Callithrix jacchus: one gene and its partners. The protein of the gene in region 4 interacts with the protein of the main gene of each other region in a pairwise test. Links are inferred from orthologs where the notes say so. Each region holds a gene or a part of one and is shown on either strand. Other genes may lie near its edges. The genes, in order: RAP1GDS1, NDEL1, MCM7, MBIP, EPB41L3, BFSP2 and PPFIA1.

Evidence for each region.
Region 1: the proteins of MBIP (region 4) and RAP1GDS1 interact in binary tests that used the Homo sapiens proteins (3 or more experiments, as listed by UniProt). The two-hybrid records come from large-scale screens. The link is inferred for Callithrix jacchus from reciprocal best matches to the Homo sapiens genes MBIP and RAP1GDS1.
Region 2: the proteins of MBIP (region 4) and NDEL1 interact in binary tests that used the Homo sapiens proteins (3 or more experiments, as listed by UniProt). The two-hybrid records come from large-scale screens. The link is inferred for Callithrix jacchus from reciprocal best matches to the Homo sapiens genes MBIP and NDEL1.
Region 3: the proteins of MBIP (region 4) and MCM7 interact in binary tests that used the Homo sapiens proteins (3 or more experiments, as listed by UniProt). The two-hybrid records come from large-scale screens. The link is inferred for Callithrix jacchus from reciprocal best matches to the Homo sapiens genes MBIP and MCM7.
Region 5: the proteins of MBIP (region 4) and EPB41L3 interact in a two-hybrid assay, tested with the Homo sapiens proteins (2 studies listed by BioGRID). The two-hybrid records come from large-scale screens. The link is inferred for Callithrix jacchus from reciprocal best matches to the Homo sapiens genes MBIP and EPB41L3.
Region 6: the proteins of MBIP (region 4) and BFSP2 interact in binary tests that used the Homo sapiens proteins (3 or more experiments, as listed by UniProt). The two-hybrid records come from large-scale screens. The link is inferred for Callithrix jacchus from reciprocal best matches to the Homo sapiens genes MBIP and BFSP2.
Region 7: the proteins of MBIP (region 4) and PPFIA1 interact in binary tests that used the Homo sapiens proteins (3 or more experiments, as listed by UniProt). The two-hybrid records come from large-scale screens. The link is inferred for Callithrix jacchus from reciprocal best matches to the Homo sapiens genes MBIP and PPFIA1.

The regions. Positions count from the first base shown.
Region 1 is NC_133504.1:99,071,395-99,073,778, forward strand, and holds the end of RAP1GDS1 (rap1 GTPase-GDP dissociation stimulator 1), read right to left. Parts: intron 2,348-2,384; coding exon 2,220-2,347; 3' UTR 501-2,219; downstream 1-500. UniProt on the Homo sapiens protein: Acts as a GEF (guanine nucleotide exchange factor) for the Rho family of small GTP-binding proteins (G proteins) that stimulates the dissociation of GDP to enable subsequent binding of GTP.
Region 2 is NC_133506.1:74,965,951-74,969,450, reverse strand, and holds part of NDEL1 (nuclear distribution protein nudE-like 1), read right to left. Parts: intron 2,262-3,500; 5' UTR 2,250-2,261; coding exon 2,164-2,249; intron 827-2,163; coding exon 673-826; intron 1-672. UniProt on the Homo sapiens protein: Required for organization of the cellular microtubule array and microtubule anchoring at the centrosome. May regulate microtubule organization at least in part by targeting the microtubule severing protein KATNA1 to the centrosome.
Region 3 is NC_133503.1:13,487,264-13,489,974, reverse strand, and holds part of MCM7 (DNA replication licensing factor MCM7), read right to left. Parts: intron 2,573-2,711; coding exon 2,423-2,572; intron 2,233-2,422; coding exon 2,118-2,232; intron 2,029-2,117; coding exon 1,897-2,028; intron 1,665-1,896; coding exon 1,581-1,664; intron 1,089-1,580; coding exon 695-1,088; intron 398-694; coding exon 314-397; intron 1-313. UniProt on the Homo sapiens protein: Acts as a component of the MCM2-7 complex (MCM complex) which is the replicative helicase essential for 'once per cell cycle' DNA replication initiation and elongation in eukaryotic cells.
Region 4 is NC_133509.1:70,910,381-70,914,542, reverse strand, and holds the start of MBIP (MAP3K12-binding inhibitory protein 1), read left to right. Parts: upstream 1-1,362; 5' UTR 1,363-1,381; coding exon 1,382-1,510; intron 1,511-4,162. UniProt on the Homo sapiens protein: Inhibits the MAP3K12 activity to induce the activation of the JNK/SAPK pathway. Component of the ATAC complex, a complex with histone acetyltransferase activity on histones H3 and H4.
Region 5 is NC_133514.1:57,672,833-57,676,944, reverse strand, and holds the start of EPB41L3 (band 4.1-like protein 3), read right to left. Parts: upstream 2,801-4,112; 5' UTR 2,716-2,800; intron 1,330-2,715; exon of another isoform or gene 1,190-1,329; intron 1,086-1,189; exon of another isoform or gene 1,034-1,085; intron 1-1,033. UniProt on the Homo sapiens protein: Tumor suppressor that inhibits cell proliferation and promotes apoptosis. Modulates the activity of protein arginine N-methyltransferases, including PRMT3 and PRMT5.
Region 6 is NC_133518.1:50,672,677-50,676,176, forward strand, and holds part of BFSP2 (phakinin), read right to left. Parts: intron 3,247-3,500; coding exon 3,115-3,246; intron 1-3,114.
Region 7 is NC_133511.1:127,208,175-127,212,185, reverse strand, and holds the start of PPFIA1 (liprin-alpha-1), read right to left. Parts: upstream 2,801-4,011; 5' UTR 2,568-2,800; intron 2,343-2,567; exon of another isoform or gene 2,178-2,342; intron 1,873-2,177; exon of another isoform or gene 1,659-1,872; intron 1,341-1,658; coding exon 1,077-1,340; intron 1-1,076. UniProt on the Homo sapiens protein: May regulate the disassembly of focal adhesions. May localize receptor-like tyrosine phosphatases type 2A at specific sites on the plasma membrane, possibly regulating their interaction with the extracellular environment and their association with substrates.

The DNA of each region.
Region 1 (2,384 bases), on a different chromosome or scaffold from region 4:
GCAAACTAATTTAACAGTGCCCTCTACAACTACGATTAGGTGGCAGGAGATAGGGGATAGTACAGTCTATAGACTCTTCCATTCACTGCAATGGCACATCAGTGTACCATCTAATTTGGTGGCCCCTGTGATAAGGGGACAGGTCTCTCTGTAGAATGATTAGTAATTTGAACTGCACTTTATTTTGCTGGAGATGGGAGTTCCTAACATATTAGCAAATTGATGGCTGGCAGCTGGCCCAGATGGGTAACTTCTCTCACATCTATGATTTTAGGATGCTTTTGTTAAAATTTTTTCCCTAAAGTCAGACAAACTATCAAATCTCAAACTCTCTATCAGTCAGTCTATCTTTCTGGAATTAGTTCAGGCAGGCTGGAAACTTCATGGATATAGGATTCATTCATTCAGTCAATAAATATTTGTTGAGCATCAATAGGAATCCCTATTCTACGAGTAGGAAATATAGACAAAATATACAAACAAACCAAATGATGCCATTATAGCTTGATATACTATTTATTTATTAAGTTAATATATGAACAGTTATGCAACATTAGTCTTTCAAAGCCTATATTAAAATATAGTCCACTATCCAGCCCAGGAGAAAGACAACAAATAATATCATTCTTATAGTAGTAAGTGTAGCAGAACATTGGTCAAGATTCTTTACCTCCATTAGAATTTTTATTTTTTATTTTTATATTTCTCCATCAGGATTTTAACTTACTTGAATTATAGGTGTTTTAGATCCAAAAGTCCAACTTGGATTACCCACAGAGAAGTGTAGCATCTCCTGTTAAAGAGGAAGGAGCTCCTGTCACCTCCGTGGCAGCCCTTTCTACTGTCCTGCAGTCCTTCTATATTAAAGTCCATCTTGCCTCTTAGGGCAGTAGCAGTCAAATTTGGGTATGAGGAGAAAGGCAGGTGGGTCACAGGGAAGTTTTGATTAATTTACAAAGATTGTGTCTCAAAGCTCTAAAAACACATTTGGTGGTGGTAGTGGCAGTGAAAAGTATACTATATTTCACCATGGGGGGTCTTCTCATCTCTTGAATCTTGGCTTTCTCATAACCTTTAAAATTGCTGTGGTTCTCAGTGGGAAAGTGGAAGAGGGAAACTCTAACAGCAATTGGTATGAGGCTATCTGCAGAATGAACTGGACTGGCTACCATGGCTTTTATAACCTGCCCTCCTTTCTTTAGTCCAGAGAAACTTATTTCCTCATCCTTCCTTCTATGTCCTGCAAGTTTTAACATAAGATTTAAAAGGACTATGGAAGATAAAACTTCTCACTGTCTAGCTGAATAATGAAAATCAGCAAAAAAAAAAAAAAAAAAAAAATCCATTCTTAAATGAACTATATAGTCAATTTACTCAGTTGAAAACAAATGCCAAATGAGTTTACAGACAAGTGCTGGACAATGTTGATTAACTGGTAGAAGTAGTTCCTGGGTGAAACAGCATATGTATCAGAAACTAAAATACAGGCAAAATGCAAATGCTTTATAATAGGGATTGTAATAGCGATTCTTCAACCCCTTAGTTTCACACCGAAAACTACAAATGTCTTTCAATATTGGGCTATTGATGATAGTCAATTAAATATGAAATCAGAAACCTCAGAAAGCCTTGCCAAGTCTGTGGTGGCAGTTTCAATAGTCTACAAAGGAAAAAGGAGAAACCATAGGTTAAAGAGTAAGAGCACTGGAATTTTATTTAACTCTAGGTACCATCAATTTGACATTAGTAGGAAAGACTAATGAATAAGTAGCCATACAGCTTTTTTTGTTCACTGTGCTTCCCAAGCACCAAAAAATTGAGCTATTTTTCCTACTCAGTTTCCTCTTAAATAAGCTAGACAGATCCTGCTGCAATGTTTCTAGTTTACCAGTACATCATTATGTAGTTTACTGCATGTGTGGAGCAAGTCATTATGTAGTACCAAGTTTACGTCATCATAGGACTACAACATGCACATTCTACTTAATGTAGCTCAAGCAACAGGAATACAAGAGAACAGTTATGGGTGGAGACTTGCCTTTGACAAAGTCATGTTCACACTAACTATGGGTTTAGAAATCTTATTAGGCAAATACCTACAGCAGTTCTTCAACTGGTATTAGAACATTACATGCATGCACAAGTGGTATGGTAGAGAATGAAGTGGAAGAGGCAGCTGGATGGAGGACGGAGGGATGATGCCGTGTGTCGGGCAGTTCTCAGCTTTCCACAGTAAGTCTCTGCTCTGTGAGAGAGGCCTGCTGGGCAACACTTTTGTTCTCATGACTGCGAAGTTTGGATACAACATCTAGAAAGGCCAAATCCTGTACTTCCTTATGTAGAGATTCTGGAAGACAAAAAAATAACAGATATGATTCTGTTAG
Region 2 (3,500 bases), on a different chromosome or scaffold from region 4:
CAGTAACGATCTCTCTGAAAAGTATATTAAAAAAACCCTTGCCTCAAAATCCCCAAACTTGTTGGGGAAACCTCTGGGTTTTCAGGCTAAATGCAGCCATGGGTAAGCAGAGTTCAAATTCCCTACCCTTTACCTTCCCATCCAGCGTTCCCCAAACCCACCTATTCCCCAAACACTAAACACCATCAAACATGTGGCTACAGTAGATGGTGAAGGGCGGAGAAAAGGATTAATCCTTTTGCTCCTAAAAACTCCTTTTTTAGAAGGAAAATCTTTAATCCAAACTAAATTCCAAAACTGAAAGAGCTATGAGCAATAATTAAATAAATCCGTATTTCCTATAAATATAATTGTAAACATACTTCAGAATGAGGTACTCTGTCAAAATAAATAATCAGGCAGCTTTTGAAAAGTATAGGAACTAAAATATAATACAGCTAGAACATTATAGCTAGAAAAGTGATAGCTACAAAGTTTTTAAGTGAACTCCTAAACTCTAAACCACCTTTTCCCTTGGTTCCGTGAAAGAAAACATTTTATTCAAAAATTCACTTTAAGCCTTTTTTTAAAAACCACTTTTTGTCACCTGCTGCTCTTAAGCCCCTGAAAAATATACTTCTCATTTTAATTAAACCCAACACATTAGACACCAGCTTCTACTGCTGCAATTACCTTTAATGCCTCCACTTCATATTTCAGTCTTTGGTTATCAGCCTGCAAGTCTCTATTTCTTTGTTCAGCCTGTACTAATTGTGCCTCCAACTCTGCTTCTAATTCTCTGCTTCCTTCCTGGAATTCAACTAGCTCATCCCGAGCTTCCTGGAAGCTAATCAGAAACAAAGTGGGAAAGATGAGTTATAGTAAGAACCACAAGAATGGTCCTGGAGATGATTACATAGCAATTCAATAATTTTTGCTTGAAAGCTAATGCTCTCATGAAATATACTAAAGACAATCTGTTTTCCATCTCTTACTGTATATATTCAGGGTTCAATGAAAATTACTTACAAGCCCAAAAAGCAGTCACAAGTCAGTGATTACAATATTTATGAAAAGTAAGTCAACATGGTTCAATACCATTAACTTCTTCCACCACAGAACTCAGATGGGGAAAAAATGCATCTTTACTTTTATTAAAGTAACAAATTTGGCATTTCCTTCTACTTTATTCAACAGAAATCACAGATATTTTCATGTCACGACAGTATTGCTGCATCTATCTCTAAATATCACTTATTGTCATGACTATTTCAAAATTAGGTAGTTATTACATTCACTTCTGTATCTTTTTTACTTAATGCATTAATAGAGAAGTACATACTGCTATGCCATAAATTAGATAACTTTTTTTCAATATAGTTGATTTCCTTTGTAATTCTATTATTCTATGCATTTAAAAACATTATGCCGAGAAGTCCATAGGCTACCCCAGCCTATTACAACATCTATGACACAGAAAAAGATTAAGAACCCTGCCATAGATACACACCTTTCATATCCCACCGGCACAACAGAGTAACTGACTTCGGTGATAATAATAAAAGAGGAGTAAAATGTTTGATAAGACTTAGTAAACTCTGTTAACCAAAATAGGAAAATGTGTCAATATTTTATTTAGAAAGATCCCATTTTTTAAAAATTAATTTGAGACAAGTTTTGGTGCAAAAGGTTTTTATCTAAAAGTTCTCCCAACCAAATAATTGAAATTGTATGAAACATTCCATGCCCCTGAAGCTTCTCCCCCTCTCTCAAAGCTTTGCTGGCTCTAGACACTGATCATGCTTGCCTGAGGAGAACGTAATCTGTTCTACGGAGCCCTAGACAGCTTATCAGAATCTCCAAATGACCAAAATGATGAGGCAGAATCAGTGCACGCAAAGCAGGCCAAAGACGGCCTAAAAAGCATAAAGAAAGGAAATGATCAGAAGAAATCATAAATGACAGTTTTCCTCCTATTTTAATAATTTGAACAATATAAAGACTTACAGCATGTTTATACTATTTAAATACAAGCAATGTGGTGACAATTTCTAGAATCTCAATCATAGAATCCTATATCTGCAATTCTAAATTTAACTTTATGTTAAAAAGAAAAATATACAAACAAGACATGGTGCATTTCAAATGCCCTCCCCCTACTTTTAGTGTGCTTTTCAACATTACCTTTGCTTATACTTCAAGGAAAGTTCCTTCCAATAGGCAGTTTCCTCCTTTAAACTTGAAAAATCTGGTATATCTTCACCATCCATGATCAAGAAAGCCTGTGAAACGTTAAAGACAAAGAAATTATAGAACAGAGAAATCTAAGCAAAAGCATAAAATCTGGGACAAGAATAAATTGCAGCATTTTGGGAGTAAAACATGAGAGATTCTAGTGGTCAACTCTCTTGCAACTCAGGCATGTAAGCCACTTCACCGCTCCTCTCAGGGACCATCAATATTGTGAATGAGGTCTTAACAAAGGTTCTTTCATACAAAGCAACATGAGGCACTTTCAGTTGCAGCATAGGTGCTGGGTGACTTGGCTAACAGAATCATGATGCACACAGAGTTCCCGAAGTTGGTTTAAGGCCAAGTGGTCTTCTGGGAATCAGGAGACAGAAACAAGCTGATTGTCAGAGATGCTGCTGCCACATGCATGCCCTTCCCAAGTGTACTATTCCTTTAAAACAGCTGCATGGAACATTTTATGCCAGGTGACCCTACTAGAAAATCAGGCACCACATTCTCAATAATTTACTAAGATCAAATTTCTAAAAACTTCCTGTTAATTATCTTTGAAGTCCAAAGCTTCCTTCCAAAAGGCCACTAATCTCCAACTTCAGTGATTTCTCTTTCATCTTGGTTGTTCTCCCAAGGCATTCAGAGAGGGGGAAAAGCAATTCAACAAACTTCTATTTGGACTAGCTACCTAAAACTCCCAACCGATCATCAGGCTCACTCTAGAGTCATGCCTACAGTTTCCTAGCACCGCCCTTCCCAAGCATCCCACTTTATATTCCAGCACTACTGTTCAAAACTATCTTAACACACCATGCTATTTCAGGTCTGGAAAACCCATTCCAGGTTTTCTCTACCTGGAATTGCTCCCCTTACTAGGAAAACTTCTGTTTATCCTTAAAACCTAGTTGTCGTCTTTTCTAGAGAGGTTTTCTTGCCCTCAATTGGACAGTATTAAAATCTCTTGCACTCTTTGCTACCTCTATACCCTACACACACTTTCACTGATATAATTACCACAGAGCAATGCATTTGCTTACACCTTTTGTGTCACCTGTTAGGTTGACTTATTTAGTTCCGTCTCAGCCCAATGCCTGCACAATAGTGGATACTCTATGATGTTTACTGAATTAAAGCATAATTGATTCAACCTAATCCATACTAGGCAGCAAGAAATTAAGACCAGCTTTAAAAGTAAATTAATAAAATCTGGAGATGCAGAGAACTTGGAGTTTATCGAGCACAAGCCACTCAGGAAGGTTTAGCAAACTTAAAGAAAT
Region 3 (2,711 bases), on a different chromosome or scaffold from region 4:
GAGGTTGCGGTGAGCCAAGACGACGCCACTGCACTCCAGCCTGGCGGCAGAGCAACTCTGTTTCAAAAACCAAAAAAATTTGTGTATAGGAAGCAAAAGTTTCCTGTGTCCCTTTCACATGAAGTGTGGAGTTTTCCACTTAAAAGTTATTCTCATTTGACCAGGCTCCAGGGGGACCCTGACTATTTTCAGGCTCTGGACGTGTCAGAAGCAGGAAGTGGTGGTGTGAAAATACCCTAAGACTAAAGCCTTTTGAGGAGGCTTGCATGGCCCATGCTGACAATGTGTGCCCATCTGCACCCAGCTCTCCTACCTCATGAGCTTCATGTCCAGAGGTTCAAACTGGGAGGGGGGCTGCCGGCTGTGCTGGTGCACATAGGTGATGTGCTGGGCCAACCTGGATAGAGGGGAGGTGAGGAGGAACACCCTTTATAGGGCTACATACCCATGTCCTCTTAGGTATCCCTCCCTTGGCTCCACCCATCTCATGGTATAGCAGGAACAAGCTTTCCTGGGAAATCCTCATTAGCATTTCAGCCCCAACCCACCATTTTCCTGAGAACCTTGGACCAGTCCCTGACACAAGGAGGAGGTTCTGGGATTTCCAGGAGCTGGGTATTTATTTTGATTCACCCCCGGCCCCTGCCACAGATCATTACAGGGGACCTCTCTTTGGGTGTTGAGCTTCATTCACCGTAGGTCATTGTCACGGTCAGGCCGGTCCTGAATCAGCCAGAGGAGGTCAAACCGGGAAAGCAGTGCAGCAGGCAGCTGTATGTTCTGCTCCAGGCTGCGGCGAGGGTTGTATCGACCATAGGCAGGGTTGGCAGCAGCCAGGATAGAGCAGCGGGCATTGAGTGTGGTGAGGATGCCAGCCTTGGCGATAGAAATGGTCTGCTGTTCCATGACCTCGTGGATGGCTGTTCGGTCGGCCTCAGCCATCTTGTCAAACTCATCAATGCAGCACACGCCCTGGTCAGCCAGCACCAGGGCTCCACCCTCTAAAGTCAGTTCTCCACTCACGGAGTCTCTCAGCACAGCTGCTGTAAGTCCCACTCCTGAGGAGCCCCGGCCTGTTGTGTACTGGCCTGGAAGAGAAGAAATAAGGAGCCATGTTAGGAGATAGAAAGGAACGAGAGAGAGAGCAAGCAAAAGACAAGAAATGAGCCAGAGAGGGGGGGCTGCGCTGGGATTGTTCCACCTGCCCCAGGCCTTCCCCGGGATGCCCAAGGTTCTGTGGGGCGCTGAGGCAGGAGAATCACTTGAATTCAGCAGGTGGAGGTTGCAGTGAGCTGAGACCACGCCACTGTACTCCAGCCTGGGCGACAAAGTGAGACTGTCTCAAAACAAAAACAAACAAACAAAAATAATAATAATAAAAAAAAGCCCTTTTTAGTAGAGACGGGGTCTCACTATGGTGCCCAGGCTGGTCTCAAACTCTTGGCCCCAAATGATTCTCCTGTCTCAGCCTGAGAGCACTGAGATTACAGGTGTAAGCCACTATGCACCCCCACTTTTTGAATAAACCCTGTGGTCCTGTCTGTCACTATGTTCACCCCTCTCAAAGTCCAACTACTTACTGCGGGGGGCCAGGCGATCGATATATGACAGAAGCTGAGACTTGGCCACACCAGGATCCCCCATCAGACAGATGTTGATGTTGCCTAGAGGAAGACAGGCAGCCCAGGAATGACTCTTCTCCCAGTGCAAGTTGGCCAACAGCAGAGCAATTTTGAATTCTGCCTCCCCCAACACCTAGCATTACTTCTAAGCCCTCCCTGTGTCCATGAATCGAAGACGCCCACTCTTATACTGTGACCTATGGGGACACTTGTCATCCTTTTTTCCTCCCAAATGACTTCATCTACCCTGAGCCTTGCCCTTTTTTCTTCTTACCCCTGATTTTCATGCCTCGAGGAGACTGGTCCACACCCCCCACTAGCAGGAGCAGCAGTGCCTTCTTCACATCTTCATGCCCATATATCTCTGGGGCAATTGAAGCTGCCAGCTTTTCGTAAAAATCCTCCTCTGTGGAGAATTTTAAGGTTAAGGTATTTTGTGGGGGAAAATGGGGGGGTAGGATGTAAACGGAATTTCCTCTCTCTCCTGAGCATCACCTGCAATCTGCCTCAGCTCCTCCCTGCTGAGCTCTCCAGCCCCAGACTCATCATCCTCACTCTTGTTCATCTTCACAATCCGATGGGCTTCCAGGTAGGTTTCTGAGAGTAAACCCTTAGGCAGGAAAATGTCAGGATACAGATGCAATCCTTAGAACTTACCCATCACCAGATTCCCTAACAATTTCTTGATAAAGCACTGTGTTGTTTTGTTTGGTGCTTTGCTACTCACTTTTCTCTGTATGGGTACAGTGGGTGAGGGGAAATGGGATGATCTGTTCCTCATATCAAACTCCCTTCCTTACCTGTACCACCTGTCGGAACCCAGTGCGCAAGACTGGCAGGAAGATACCAGTGACACTGACATGGTCTCCAGGCTGGGCGATCCTTGTGTTCTCTCCTTCTACCAGCACTGTGATACTACGAGGGATATTTCCCACGGGTACTTGGTCACTCTAGGGGAGGGAAGAGCACATAAGGCTCAGGAGAAATAAACAAGGACCCAACCTTCCCTCCCTAGGCATCCCACGCCAAGACTCCCTGCCTGCCCAGCCACAGATAAGCCCACAGGACGGAAGCTGAGACTGCCTTTCT
Region 4 (4,162 bases):
GGAAAAAAACAAACAAGCCCATTCAAAAATGGGCAAAGGATATGAACAGACACTTTACAAAAGAAGACATATATGAAGCCAACAATCATATGAAAAAATGCTCATGGTCACTGGTCATCAGAGAGATGCAAATCAAAACCACATTGAGATACCATCTCACGCCAGTTAGAATGGCGATCATTAAAACATTTGGAGACAACAGATGCTGGAGAGGATGTGGAGAAACAGGAACACTTTTACACCTTTGGTGGGAGTGTAAATTAGTTCAACCATTGTGGAAGACAGTGTGGTGATTCCTCAAGGCTTTAGAAATAAAAATTCCAATTGACCCAGCAATCCCATTACTGGGTATATATCCAAAGGACTATAAATCGTTCTACTATAAGGACACATGCACACGAATGTTCATTGCAGCACTGTTTACAATAGCAAAGACCTGGAATCAACCCAAATGCCCATTGATAATAGACTGGATTGGAAAAATGTGGCACATATACACTATGGAATATTATGCAGCAATCAGAAATGATGAGTTTGTGTCGTTTGTAGGGACATGGATGAATCTGGAGAACATCATTCTCAGCAAACTGACACAAGAACAGAAAATGAAATACCGCATATTCTCACTCATAGACGGGTGATGAAAAATGAGAACACATGGACACAGGGAGGGGAGTACTAAACACTGGGGTCTATTGGGGGGAAAAGTGTAGGCCCAGCACGGGGGTGGGGGTGGAAGCTGGGGAGGGATAGCCTGGAGAGAAATGCCAAATGTGGGTGAAGGGGAGAAAGGAAGCAACACACACTGCCATGTGTGTACCTATGCAACTGTCTTTCACGTTCTGCACATGTACCCCAAAACCTAAAATGCAATAAAATATTAAAAAAAAAAAAAAGAAAAGATTGCAAAACCCCACAAGTATCTTTATAATAAAGTTATATAATACTTTGTAAAGTTTCAATTCGGTTTTATGTCCTTCTAATTTCAAAGATTGTGGTTGCATATTATTTATCCAGGTTAAATTCCTGTTGGAATGATACTGACAGTGTTTCACATAGTCCCCTACTACCAACATTCACAAGGAACATCCAGGAGTCAAGGTAAGCTTCATGATGCTAACCCTTAAGAGACCACGACTCTAATGACCACCCCAAAGACAGCATTCTAGCCTAGCTTTGGTCTGCAATTCACTTCAGAGCTTCGGGGCAATGCCACAGCTGCAACTGATTGGTGTACGTGCTTGTCAGTCACATACAGAGGGTGGAGCCTCAAAGCCCGGATATAAACGAGACGCCGTGTCGTACGTCATCACCGAGCGACTAAAGCGGAAAAGGGAGGGGGCGGGGCTGTGAGCAATCCTTGGCGGCCTGAGAAGGTGTCATGGCTGCTGCCACGGAGCTTACTCGCCCGAGTAGCGGTGACAGGAATGTGGAGCGAAGATGCAGCCCCAGCCTCTCCCGAGAGGTGCTCTGCGAAATCTTTCGCTCCCTGCACACCCTGGTTGGACAGGTGAGAAGTGGCCTCAGGGATTGAGGGTATGGAAACCATCCGGCCTCTCCCCCTCATTCTTTTCCTCTAGCGGAGGCCAGAGGCAGCGAGGCCTGCCAAGGTCTGAGGTGCGGCCCCTGAAGCCGAGGTCGGGGAGGAGCCCGGGCCGAGCCGTCTCAGTCGGAGTGAGGAGGATGGCGGTACCGGTTGCCAAGTGGTTTACCTTGCAGCTGTCCTCCCCAGCAGTGGGTGAGGATGGTTTAAGTGAAAACCCGGCCCCGAGAGGAGCAGACTTGGAGAGAATGAATGTGGAAAAGCTTAACTGCGGATTTATGAGGCGCCTCGCGCTCAGGCTCCTTTTTCTTCCAACTTACTCAATTACGGGAATTGGTTGGTCAGTAGGCCTGAGATTTATAGAAAAGCGCGCTTATTAGCTTTTTTCAGGGGCTAGAGGGAGTAATTTGTTCTTATGAGTCACTTGGTTTTGTTTATTTCTTCTTTCCTTCGGGCTGTTTTGTGCATCTATTACCCTTTTAAATGGAGAGGAAAGTAAAAGGAATTCATTTAAAATACTTCTAGCGTAAAGTTGGATGAGTTATCCCTCTTTGATGTTGTTTGCAATAGAACGGGCGTTATTTAACTATTATTAAACGGGCGTAGTTTAACTGGCTGATAAATCGCTTTTGCAGAAATGTGGTAAAATTGGTTTTAAATTTAAATGGACTTCTTATTCTCTGTGATCAAGTCACTGTTTCGTTTCATGGTGTAAAATTCAAAGCAGATTTTAAATGTGAAACAGTTTAAAATTATGCTTCTTCACCTGCTTATTAAAAGGAAATATTTTCTATCTTACATAGACCATTTTCTAGCCGTAAAAGTTTGTTTTGGAGCTGGTACTAGTGCCTGTGGACACAGCAGGCATTTGTGTCAAAGACAATGGTAAATTCCTATAAAAATAGAACATTTGTCTGATTTGTGAAAATTATTTTTTTAAAGCCTTGAGTAGATGGAGAATCAGTCTTTTAAAAAGTTACTAAAGTAGTTTTAAAAATCGTAGTATGTTGTGTCTTACAAAGAACATTACTGTAAGTTTAGCGGTTTTATGTAATGACGCAGTTGTTAATGAAATCTGCTAAAAGATACAACTTTTAAACTCAATTGTTTGCCAAGTACTTACCAAAAACATTTTTTTAAACACTTGGGGTCTTTTGTTATTAACATTGTAGTCTTAAGAACCAAAACCTCTAAATGGTTTAAAAGTTAGAGAACTTTTTATGGCGACGTCGGAACTTGTTTATTTTCTAATGTCAAGATAAAAAAAGTTTATGCTCACCTATTAACAGAAGATGGAATATTTAAAAAAAATATTGAGCAATGATTTAAACTTTTCTTTTGAAATATTTTGCATACTGAATTTTTCAAACTCATTAGAAAATTTTAATGATTCAAGTACGGTAAAGTACAATTAAAGAAATGATTACAGTTTACTTATGTCACTTGTCAAAAATGTTGACAGTAAATATTTGGTGACTTTACTGTGACACAGTGAAGGGACCTCCTACACAAGTGTCAAAAATATGATTGTTTCATCAATTAAATGTAAACCACTTTCAAAATACTCTGTATTTTGAGAAATGTTTTTTAAGAGTGAAAGCCAGAGTTCAATACTTATAAAATTGCCCCCCCGAGAAATCAGTATTTTCTTTTGCGACCAGTTTAAAGGATTTTTAAAATGTATGTTGTAACATACCTAACTTATCCTGTGTCATCCCTAAGTATCATTGTATTATTAGATCTCCTCAGTAGGAAACACAAAACTGAATGTTAAAAATAATTTTTTACTTCAGATCACAAAATTTACTAATTTTAACCTTTTTGCTTGCCTCTGGATGGCCCATCTTACCAAGCTGAACAATTACTTATTTTTAGCTTGGATTTTTGTATTAATTTAGTAAAGTTAATGAAACTACATATTTAAATAGTCTATATTAATAGCAGACTAATAGAGATTTTCAAGTGAATGGTTTACTCTTCCAAGTTCTGTAGGGCAAAATGCATAGGATTCATGTGACTAATAATGAATGTCTTGAATGAATAGTTAGATGAATTAGGATAGTTTTATAATTAATTTGTGACATTATGTGGTTTTCTTAAAAGACCAATTATTCTTAATTGCACTTGAAGGTTTATATAATTCTGCTGAATTGAAATGAGAATATGAACCAAACATTAAGACTTATTTTTCTATACGTTATTTTCTCTAGAAAAATGTGATACTTTGCTTTGGTTGAGGATTTGCCTGCTTTATCCCCAAGCTGTATTCATAAGTTTTCTATAATCGAGTATAGATCTCTTTGAAGACTACAAAAGTATATTAATGGGTTACTTCCATACATAATATGGGTTGTTGTGTAGCAAAATCTTTATAGGCATTAAAGTAATATAAATTAATGCATTAACTTTAAAGTCTTAATATGTTCTAATCTTTGCCAGTGCAGCCTACATGAAATTTCATATATCTTTACACTTGTTTAATATGGACTTTTAAATTCTTCTGTTCTTATCTTAAAAGGGCAGTAAATTTCTGTCACATAGTGTTTATTCAATATATTATCTTTTTATTGGTAACCTTACATCTTTTTGATCTTTGTACAGTGATTCATCTTTATAACT
Region 5 (4,112 bases), on a different chromosome or scaffold from region 4:
ACACCATTGCACTTCAGCCTGGGTGACAGAGCGGCACTCCACCTCAAAAAACAACCACCAAAAAAAAGAACTCTCTATCTTTATATAGTCAAATTCTCACAGAAAGGAAACATTTATTTTTCAGTCTACTCTTGGAGTTCTATTTTACTGGACAGGATATGAATTCTAATTTGTGAATTTTAGGGAAAGCACTAACTTAAAAAATGAATGCACATCATACAACATGGAAGAAAACACTTTCATAGCAAGTTCCTGCCACACTTAATCCAATATACTATAACAAGTCCAGAAAAGAGTCACAAGATGATAATAGCATCACATCTCTCTGTACATGGATAGTTGCCTCTCTTCTACTTAGGTGCCCCCCTAATGCATTTGACCAAATAGTTTTTAAAAAAACAATTATAAATAAAATTGCATCCAATCAAGTTAAAAAAAAATCCTGATCTTGTATTTCAACACAAAGTTAGCCAAAGTCCAAGCACTGCACATGAATTGATTAAAAAAATTGCTTTTAACCTAAGTCGTATTTATGCAGAAATGTGCTAAAAAATAAATGTAAATATTTCACTGAGACACTGACATTTGACCTATAGCAACTGAATCCTTCACCTAAAAGAGGTTTAAAAATTCAAGTGGCTACTCTTCTTGTTATGGATGAATTATTCACAAAAAAATGTTCTGTTTTGAAAAACTTATTTTGACTAAAGTGTATTCACTAAATAAACTTTATGCCGTAAGTTACGCATCTGATATTTTGCTTTTCTAAACTACCAGAAAATCAAAATGCAAATTAGACAGTATTAAGCATTCAGCCAGCTAGCAAGGCTTCACGAATTAACAAACTGAAGTCACACTTCTCCAATTTAGAATTTATTCCCTCTCACATTAATTTTGTTACTCTAAAGGTTTTTAAGTTTGATACCAAAATTAACATGCATTTTTTAAACACCCTCTCTGAGCCAAGACAGAAATCACCTCTCAGTCCCCAGAGTTCACTGGAGCTTAATGTGCTGTTCTCTTTTCTTAATAGGGCTTTTCTGCTTAATTTGCTCTAATTGAGACTACATCCATGGCTCACAGATGTAAGTAGAATTTCATCATTTTTGTTTCCTTGTGACATTAAAAATCAGGGTAAATTTCAAAAATAATGCTTTTAGCACTTGGTGTGATGCTTTCTGTACTACAGAAGTTAATGCTACCAAGAGAAACTCCAGCATACCTGACCGCCTCAGAGAGCCTAAAATTCCCACTCCCCACCATCCTCCAAAAAAAGGACAGGCAGGATATCTGCAAAAGCAATTTCGCAGGACTAATGTAAAGAAGCTGAAACAACTTAAACACGCAATAGAAGCACTGCATTAGAGGGCCATGCCTGGCCCTCTCAGGACCTCCCAGCCCAACCTCCACAAGTAATTAATACCACATGTTTCCTTTATCATTCTATTTGGTCTGTTCTGCAACAATCTCTACCAACTTTAACCCTGGACTGCAACTAAAGGAAAACCCTAGGAAACTTCAGATCCGTAATATAAAAAGAAAATTGAAGAATACTCTCATTGCAAGGGACCATAGTTACAATTTACTAGGTAACCACACCCACCGCATTGCAGAAGCCCTGAACTTGGCGGGTGTGTGACTGGGAAGGGGAAGAAGTCGGGCAAGACTACAGGGGAAACCCGAATAACCAAGCCCCTGCGGCAGCAGCCAGGAAACACTCGCCAGGAACTGACTGAAACCCCCAACTCCAGCGGTCCGAAGTCCCAGCCTCCCCACCCCCACCGCCGCAGAGCCGCCTTCGCAGACACCTCCCCTGACGAATCGCAGCCCCGTAGGCACCAGGTGAGTCGCGCTGCCCCGAGTCCCCCGGCCACCGCAGGCCGACCCGTGCGCCCCCGGCCAGCCTGCGGTCACGCGCCCGGGTGCCAGCGGCGAGGGGGCCCTGCAGGTGCCCAAGCCCCAAGCAACCCCGCTCGGACATTCCCTCCTCTTCCCCCACAGACCCGGCCGTGCCCCGTCGCGGGAGGGGGCAGCTGCCCCAGATTGGGGAAAGAGGCAAGTTACATAAAAGCGGCCGGCCCCGCTGCCCAGCGGGGATGCTTTGTGCCAAGCGCACCTTACCGGCCCCGAGCCGCACCCGCCCGCGCTTGCACCCGGGACTAGCCCGCAGCCGCCGCGCGCTGGGCGCAAGGCCCCTCCCATGGCCCGCCAGCCTCCACCCGCCCGGGCGGCGCCTCAGTGTCGCCCCCCCACCCCTCACCTCTCCGCGGGAGGGGCTGGCCCGCGCTGGCCCCCAGCCCAAGGGGCAACTTAAAACATGGCGCCCCGGGCGGGGGATTTGCGCAAATTGACGGAGAAGGGACAAGGGGACGGAGTCGCGCCCTCGGCCAAGGATCCCAGGGAGGCCCCCAGGCCGGAGGCCGGGGCTCACGCTCCGCTCGCCGGCCCAGCCGCTGCTGCAGCGCGGCGGACGGAGCGGGCGCTGGGCGCGGCGCATAGGCTCGGCCCGGCTGGGGTCCCGGCGAGCGGGAGGGCGGGTAGGGACCCCGGCCAAACCGGGCGCGGGGCTCGGGATTCGGGAGACCGCGCGGCGCCGGAGCCACGCGACAGCCACACAACCCCGCGCGCCTCGCTCCAGGCCTCGGGCTCTTCCTCCGTACCTCGTAAAGCCGAGACCCCCTCGCAGTCCCCCACTCCGGGAGACGGAAAAGTTACCTGAAATCGGCGGGGAGCCCGGGCGCGCCGCGGCGTGGGGACCAGGCTCGGGCGCGCGTCCTCGGCGGCGGTGCGCAGGAGACTCGGGCGTGGGGAGGAAGCCGCAGCCCAGGGCTGCTCGCCGCGGCTCCCCCCGCCCCCTGTTGCAGGAGACACCGAGGCTCCGCGGAGCTGCGGCGGGGGCCCACGCCCAGAGACCGTGCGAGGAAAGCCAACCTCGTCCTGCCTGCCCTCCCAGCCGCGGGGGAGGGGGGCACCGCAGTACTTCAGGACAGTTATATGGGCACAGCCTCCTCCTTCCTGGCGCGGGGTCAGGCTCCGTGGACGACGCCGGGAGACAGCTGCCAATGCCTATAGCTTTAGCCCTTGATTCCCACTTAGATGATGGCCCGGCCTTTCCAGCCCCCGTCCCCTCCCAAACACCCCCTGTGAGAAAGGAGGGAGGGGGGTTGTTCCTGACCTTCAGGTGAGTTATTTATTGGCTAGGGACTGCAGTATTTTTTTTTTCTTTTTGGAAAGAAAAAAAAAATCAAGTTGGTGGTGTCTTGAAGTAATGTTAACAGAGAAGATCTGAATTAATGGTTGATAAGGGAAGTCCCCATCTTTCCGCAGGTCGGCTACTTGGTCCTCCCCAGTGTTTGTAAAGCTTTCCACTGAAATAGAGAGGATTTCAGTGATTTGTAAGTGAAAGAAGTAATTCCTGGTCCTGGTGGTCTCACAATATCTGAAGATCTAACCAAGTAACCAAGACATTTAAGAAATATTTTTATGGGCACAAAAATTAGAATGAATAAGATACAGTATTTGATAGCACAACAGGGTAACTATAGTCAAAATAATATAATTGTACATTTGAAAATAACAAAGTATAGTTGGATTGTTTATAACACAAAGAATAAATGCTTGAAGGATAGATTCCCTGTCTTCCATGTGATTATTGTGCATTGCATGCCTGTATCAAAACATCTCATATGCCCCATAAATATATATACATACTATGTACCCTCAAAAATTACAAAACATTATTTTTTAATTTTTAAAATAAATTTTATGTGTATTTAAGGCATACAATATAAGATACATATATAGTAAAATGGGTATTATAATGGAACAAATTAGCATATCTATCATCTCACATAGTTACGCATTTCCCCCAACAACCCTCTACTTGTGGCAAGGGTAGCTGTAATACATTCATTTAGCGAAATCGTGAATATAAGACACTATTCTTAGCTATAGTCCTCGTGTTGTACTTTAGATCCTTATTACGTTGTACATTAATATTTTTTTTAATGGAGCCTTCTTCAAATCATCCAGTCACCCCTCAGGAACTTAGGGACTCATTAAAAGAGGTAAAAAATGGATTCACAAAAATAATGCATTTACTGGGTGCCAAA
Region 6 (3,500 bases), on a different chromosome or scaffold from region 4:
TAAAGTTCAAATCCAGCTTCTCCACCTAAGTCCCTGACATTCTGGCAGAAAGAGGTAATGCCTGGTTCTCCCGGAGATGCTTGAGCTTGAGTGACTGTGATCAGGTGACTGTTGCAGGCAGTAGCTAGCTCACTCAGCCACACAGACAGTACCAGCAAACAAACTGAAATCACAGAAGCACACTTATTCTGCCAATTTCTCTGGAGATCTGAAGGGACTTTCTTGAATTGCAAAGCCCTCCAGAAAGTAAGAGAGTGACTTTATGTAACTTCTTACCTTGAATTCCATTCCTGATTTAAGTTCAGCAGGCCTCAAGCACCATTATTTGTGCCTACCTTCCAATGCAAATAGTGCCTTATTGGCAAAGGGGATCAAAAGTTTTGCCAGCTCGGTTGTCTGAAGCTTATATAAACTGCGGGGTCCTTGTGAGTGCACAGGTTGCATTGATGGAGAATAATGAGAATGGCTGGATGAACTTTCTGTATTTAAAAACTGTATGAGAGTTTGGTACCTATTTTGTCTCAATCTGTGCTCCTCACCTTGGCTGCAAGGCCTTGTGACCAGAATGATAATGTACCAGAACCAGCAGGGAACTGAGGCAGCCTGTTCTGGGCCATGGGCATAACCAGAATGCCACTACTCTGAAGTTTTCTGGTTGAGGGTGTAAATTCTTTTTCCATTTTTTTCCTCAGTAGTTAGGACAGTGGGTTTAAGTGAGGTGACCAGGTGGCTGGTGGTGCCAACTTGGAGTTAGTATACTAGTAGTTATTACAGCAATTTTATGATAGTTAATAAAAGATGGCATCTATTGACTGCTCACTAAGCACCAGGCACTGTGCTAAGGGCTTGACATACATTATCTGATTAATCATTTCGTTGACGTTATGAGGTAAATTCTATTATGACCCTAAGGTGGATCACACTTCCACTGGCAGCTGCAATTATCTTCACTCCACAATCGCTTCCTCAATGTGACCTTGCCATTATCCCATCAAGAAGTTAATTTCTCTCCCTGTTGAATCTAGGATAGTCTTGTGACTACTTTGACCACTAGAATGTGGTATAAGGGATGTTCAGAGACTTTCAAGCCCCAGTGTGAAGATGCCTGGTAGCTTCTGTGCTCACTCAGGTGCCATATCAGGAGTTTGAGTATGTCAGGCTGTCATGATATGAGGAGGTCCAAGCTAGCTACACGAAGCGGTCACAGGGAGAGAGAAAAAGAGATGCATAACTGAGTAACCAGACATGTTAAGTGAAGAAGCCATTTTTGGGTGTTCCTGCCCTAGCAGAGACCACATGAGACAGAGAAGAGTTATCCCTGCTGAACTCTGCCTAAATCACAGAATGAGAGAACAAATGATTCTCTGTTGTCTTAAGCCACTAAGACAGTAACTAGATATAATAGCCAAAATAGATCCTCACTTTATAAGTGGGAAAATGAAAGCTCTGCTCATTCACAGAGCTAGTGAGTGAGTAGAGCATCCACCATGAAGTCTATATCCTGACTCCCACAGCAGGGGTGATCTCTCCCACCTGCCACCTCCTCATGTTTATATCAGCTCCTCCACTGAAGCTGCATTAACTCCTTGGAGGCTGGGACCATATCTAATTAGTTTTATGTACCCAAAGCACTTGGTACAGTTCCAGGAACATAGCAAGTTCTCAAAGTAATGCTAACAGTAAGAAGAGTGTGTCATGTGCATCCTCACATTGGATCCTCCTAGAAACATTGAGAAGTGGGCTGGACTGTGGCTGTCATACCCATTTTGCAGAAGAGGAAACTGTGGTTCAGGGATTTGCTTATTTACCCAAGGGATAAATGGAGGAACTGAGACCTTCTGACTCTATTACTCTTCATTTTCCTTCCCTCAGATCCTCTGATGTTTTTCTTTTTCTTTCTTTCTTTTTTTTTTTTGAGACGGAGTTTCGCTGTCGTTACCCAGACTGGAGTGCAATGGCATGATCTCAGCTCACTGCAACCTCCGCCTCCTGGGTTCAGGCAATTCTCCTGCCTCAGCCTCCTGAGTAGCTGGGATTACAGGCACGCACCACCATTCCCAGCTAATTTTTGTATTTTTAGTAGAGACGGGGTTTCACCTTGTTGACCAGGATGGTCTCAATCTCTTGACTTTGTGATCCACCCGCCTCAGCCTCCCAAAGTGCTGGGATTATAGGCGTGAGCCACCGCGCCCGGCCCTGATCCTTTTCTTATACATGCTTGTACTGACCTACATCCTATCATGCACTTCATTGACTTCAGACCATTTCAGCTGCACAAGGATTACATGGACAACCCTTTGATCTTCACCAACAAAGCTGTAGTTAGAACAGTGCAAATGGCCTCCTGGAGGGGTTATCTAAGAAGAGCTGTGTTTAACAACCAAATAGAACTTCCATCCATCCCAGAGATCAGAGGGTGGACTGCTTCATTATTAATACATTTTATTGATTATTTTAATCAATGATAATTGGTAATGAAAGAGACATGCTTGCAAATCACAGTGAGTCTGAGAGCTTACTAGATGTTTCAGGTTGGGTTCTCCAGAAGCAGAGCCTGAGATGGGGATCCTGGAACTTGTAAATCATTAAGGAGTAATCTCAGGAAAAGGGGGAGTGAGGAAAGCAGGATAGGGCAGAGACTAAGCAGGAATGCGGTCCCTGGAATCTGGCCACAGCCTGGTCCCATGGAGAGCTCTAGAGCATGGAGCTAGCTTCACTTTGGAGGAAGAAGGCTGGGCTTTTAAAGCCCCCTCTCAGTCACTGGCTGAGGCCTGGGGGCAGGGCATAATCTTCTGGGCCAGGTGTCCTCAGTGTGGGTAAGGGTAAGTCTCAGGAGCAATGGGGCAGCTGAAAAGGGGCAGCTGCAGGTGTCAGCAGCCAACATTCACAGCAGCAGCCTGGTAAGAGAGATGTCCATGGGGCACTACAGTGCCTATTGCACCTGCTGTTATTCAGTATCTGATGATCCTTGGGAGTCAGAAGACATTTCAGGCCTCAAAACTCATATCCTGTGAGATGGGAATCCCCTGCAAACTATGATCCATAATACTGGAATTTGACAGTAGAGAGTTAAAATTAGCATAGGGATGCCAGGTCTTTCCTTGGCCCACTTACCAGGGCACGTAAGGATTCTGTCTCAGCCTGGAGGCTCTGGACTTGGCACGAAGTGTTGTGTAACTCCACCCTGAGGGCAGCTGCCAGCTTCTCCTCCTGGGTCTGGGACATGTGGGTCACCTCCGCCTGTTGCTGTGGAGAGTCAGGTCTCAGTATGAGCAGAGATGATCAGAAGCTGAGCCTGTCCTTCCTTTCCAGCCTTTCTAATCACCACTCACTGCCTCTACCCAGAGGAAACACAGCTGTCACATGGAAACATCTGTTACTTTATTTTATTTTTTTTTTCTGAGATGGAGATCTTGCTCTGTAATCCAGGCTGGAGTGCAGTGGCATGATCTCAGCTCACTGCAACCTCTGCCTCCTGGTTCAAATGATTCTCCTGCATC
Region 7 (4,011 bases), on a different chromosome or scaffold from region 4:
GGCACCGCGAAGGCACCTGTGGTAAGTGACATGGCACCTAGAGGGCTCTGAACCACCTAAGTAACCCACTTCTCTCCTACTGTGCTCCGCGCCACTCACCTCACACTTTTCTAGTTTTTACCCCTCCTCCGTTTACCTACCACTAATTCATCCTCATTCAACTCCATGAGCAAAGTCTTTCAAACACTGGTCCAAATGTTATATACTCAGAGAAACAATTTCAGTTGTTCTAAGCTTTAAAAACCTTTTTTTTTTTTTTTTTTTTTTGAGACAGTGAAACAGTGTCTAGCTCTGTCACCCAGGTTGGAAAGCAGTGGTGCAATCTTGGCTCACTGCAACCTCCTCCTCCCGGGTTCAAGTAATTCTCATGCCTCAGCTCGAGAATAGCTGGGACTACAGGTGTGTGCCATCATGCTCCACTAATTTTTGTGTTTTTGGTTTTGCCATGCTGGCCAGGCTGGTCTCGAACTCCTGATTTCAGGTGATCCACCTGCTTCGGTCTCCCAGAGTGCTGGGATTACAGACATGAGCCACCACATTCGGCCTAAGCTTTAAAATTCTCATCTGCCAAGGAAAAAGTTTCTAAGGGAATCAATTTCCAGTCTTCTATCCCCTAAAACAAATGTGACTTACAAAAACCTAGGTGTTCTGAAAAAGGTGGGCTATCAAAATATTTTTTTCTGTGAAATCAATCCTATTTGTCCATGAAATTTCATTAGGAAATTGGAAATACATGAGAGACACAATCCGTGGGAAGAACAAGTCTAGGAAGAAAAGGCTAAGACAACAGAACAGAGGCACCGTATAGATTGCGGCTTCAGAGCCGTTTTTCAACAACTCTGGAGAACGAACTTCCTGAACCCAGGCAGTTCCCAAAGACAGGAATGAAAATAATGAGGTCTTTTCACAGGACTTTAGAGTACAACAGTTTGTTCTCCCTAAGAGGTTTAATCCCTAGGAACTTTGTATTTGACTTACAAACACCAGAAACCATCATTTCACAAATGGTTACGGAAAATGCTCATCTGAAACATTAACAAAGCATCTATAGAGTTCCAGGTTAAAAGCACTCATACCTGCGGAAGTGCCGTGTTGAGCTGTCTCTGCAAGGAATCTCTTTCATGACCAACCTCGTGTAACTTCCCCTGGGTTAATGCCAGCGTTTCTTGAGTCTCTCTCAGTGTGTCAAGAAGACGGTCCCTTTCTTCTAGCATGGAGACCATCAACTGTTCGAAATGTGAATCTGTGTCCGGCTGTGAAGGGGAGCCAGACCCATGGCTTCCGCTTCCTCCAGGGGGACCTTCTGCTTCGCTGATGGTCGGCATCACCTCGCACATCATCTGGAAATCAAGGCCCCAAGCTACGGTCACTAAGTGCGAATACAGGTTCCCACAGTATCTGTAGCTAAAAAGATGGGCAGCCGCATTATTCTCAGAACTGGTATGCTTTGTATGTAAAGAAGCTGAGAACATACACACACGGGGCAAATATTAAGTGCAGAAATACACGACATGAAGACATCAACACGGACAAAAACCCAGGGAGGGAGTCAGGATCCCAGAGGACTGCCCTAACAGCAACAACAAAAAAGGCAAACCCTGGGGTGGTCTTTTAGCAAAGCTGTACGTTTTCGTGGAAAACAAGTGTGCTTCTGTTACCTGTTTTTTCTACTTCCCAGTGGGGGGAGAGAAAGTCAAAACACATGTCACCCAATCATTTTTCAGGAAAAGCACAGAAGGAGCACACAGCCAACAAAACTGACAAGTACAAAATCCATCAGGCATCTTGCAGGAATGTGTGCGGTCAGCTCCCGGGAAGAACGGCCGGCTCCCTGAATTCTTGGGCTGGATTCGGTGAGCACTAAAAAGAACTGAATTCGTTACACGCTGGTAGAAGTGTTTTTCAACGGCTGCAACGGTTGGTCAGTCAACCTAACTTACGTAAGTTTACAACCGGAAAAAAAAAAAAAAAAAAAATTCCACAATGGAAATATAGCAGGTCGATACAGCCCGGGGCGGCTAGGAAAGAAGGAAAAGTGAAAGGTGAGATTATGAGAGACTATTAAGTGTCTGGAATCTAAAGACGGCGGGAGGGGAACGGGAAGTCGCTTCTGAGCCTTAAGGCAAGTATTCGGGGTGCGGTGGACCCCCGAGAGGAGGATGCCCAAGACCGCGCACCTGATGCGGATGGTTACCTCCAGCCTGCTCGCGCCCGCACTCCTTCCCCTCCTGTAGCAGATGCGGCGGGAGCCCAGGACCCCGGGGGTGAGGACCGTTGACAGCAGAGCCCGCCCGGGCCGGGGCTTTCAGCGGCCGCAGGTCCCCGCCCCTCGCCCCAGCGCCAGGGTCACGGGGCGCGGGGCTCGGGCAGGGGCGTCACGCAGCCCCCGGAGCCGTCCCTCGGGGCGCGGGGGTCCCGCCGGAGCTCCCCTACCGCCTCGCCCCCGCCCGCCCCGGAGCGCACCCTTCCCCGCCAAGACATCCAATCGGCTGCGCGGCCGCCGCGGGGATCGGGACCCGCCGGGAACGCCTGGGCCCCGGGTCTGCCTCAGTGTCCCGCTCCCTTACCTTGCTCGCCGGCGGGAGCGGACGAGGAGGCTCTGCGGCGGCTCGCGGGCGGCTGCTCGCTCCAGGCGAGCTTGAGAACAGACGAAGGCAGCCCGCGGCCGGCGTCAGCCTGCCCGCCCCACGCCGCGGCCCCGGGGCCCGCCGCCCCAGTCACTAAGGCCGGCCCGCGGCCGGACACTGGCGGAGCGGAGGAGGAGCGGGCCCGGCTGCGCGGCGCCGGCGTCAACGTGCCCGACGTCGGGCGCGTCGGCGCGAGCGTCAGCACTGCCCCGGGGGCGGGGCCCGAGGAGCTCTGCGGCCCGAGTGCGCAAGTGCCGTCTCCTCAGGAGGGGGCGGCCGGCGGCTTCAGGGCGCTGATTGGCTGAACGTGACGGAGCCCCGCCCTTCCATTCCACGCCCAGGTTGGGGGCGGCGTCCCCGGGATGAGCCACAGGTGGGAGCTCAGGTGCTCGCGGGGTCCCCAGTCTCCTCCCACAGCTGCAGGTACAGCGGAGGCCTCTGCCGAGCGTCAGTCCGCCGCGCCTCGGGTTCTGAGCCGGACCAGTCCGGCACGTCAGGTCCCTCCCGAGCTGGAGGCTCTGGATTCCCATCTTGCGGCAGAGCGAGCCAAGGCTTCAGCCACCGCCTGGGGCCCCGACTGCGCCCTCCGCGTCGCTCCCAGAGTCTCCCCGGGCCTGATCTGGGTTCAGAAGGACGCGCTTCCCTCCAGGACCCACTTACTGAGCGCTGCCTGCCGCACCTGGGGACGCCCCGGCGCAGCGTCCAGCGGGCAGACTTTGCCGCTGTGGTTTCACACTGCAGCGAGGGCCCGGTGGGTCCGGGCGACTCGGGAAACACGCCTGGGCTTCAGCGCCTCCGATGTGGGATGGGAAAATGATGGAGACCTACCTGCCAGGCTGCTTTAAGATGTCAATCAGATGTAAAGAGCGACTGGTTGAGAAGCTGACGGGCAGCACTGCACGAGGCTTGGTCATTTGATCTTTTCCGCAAGCATTTTTAAACACCTACCATGGGCCAGGTCCTGTGCTGGATGTTGCAGACACGGAGATGAATAGAGACGCCGCTAATAAATTTAGTAAATTAAAGCGGATGCTCTCCCGATCTTCCCAGAATTTGACTCGAGCGCTGGTCTTCACAAACCAACATGTCAGGAGACCATCGCCGGTCTCCACTGACCACTGCTGTTGGTGTGAGGCAGCCAAGAGCCCCTCAGAACGAATCAAGTCTGAGAACAGGCTGCATAGGGGCTAGGAGAGGGAAACGTGAGCCCGTCCAAGGTGAATTCCCTGATTCCACCTTGTGAACGCACGGAGAACAAGCACTACCTCCGACTAACTTTCTCACCTACCAGGGTCTGGTACACCTGCCATTAATTTATTCATTCATTCGATAAATATTTATTGACTGACTACATGTAAACATGAATTTGTGCTTTTTGCCCCTA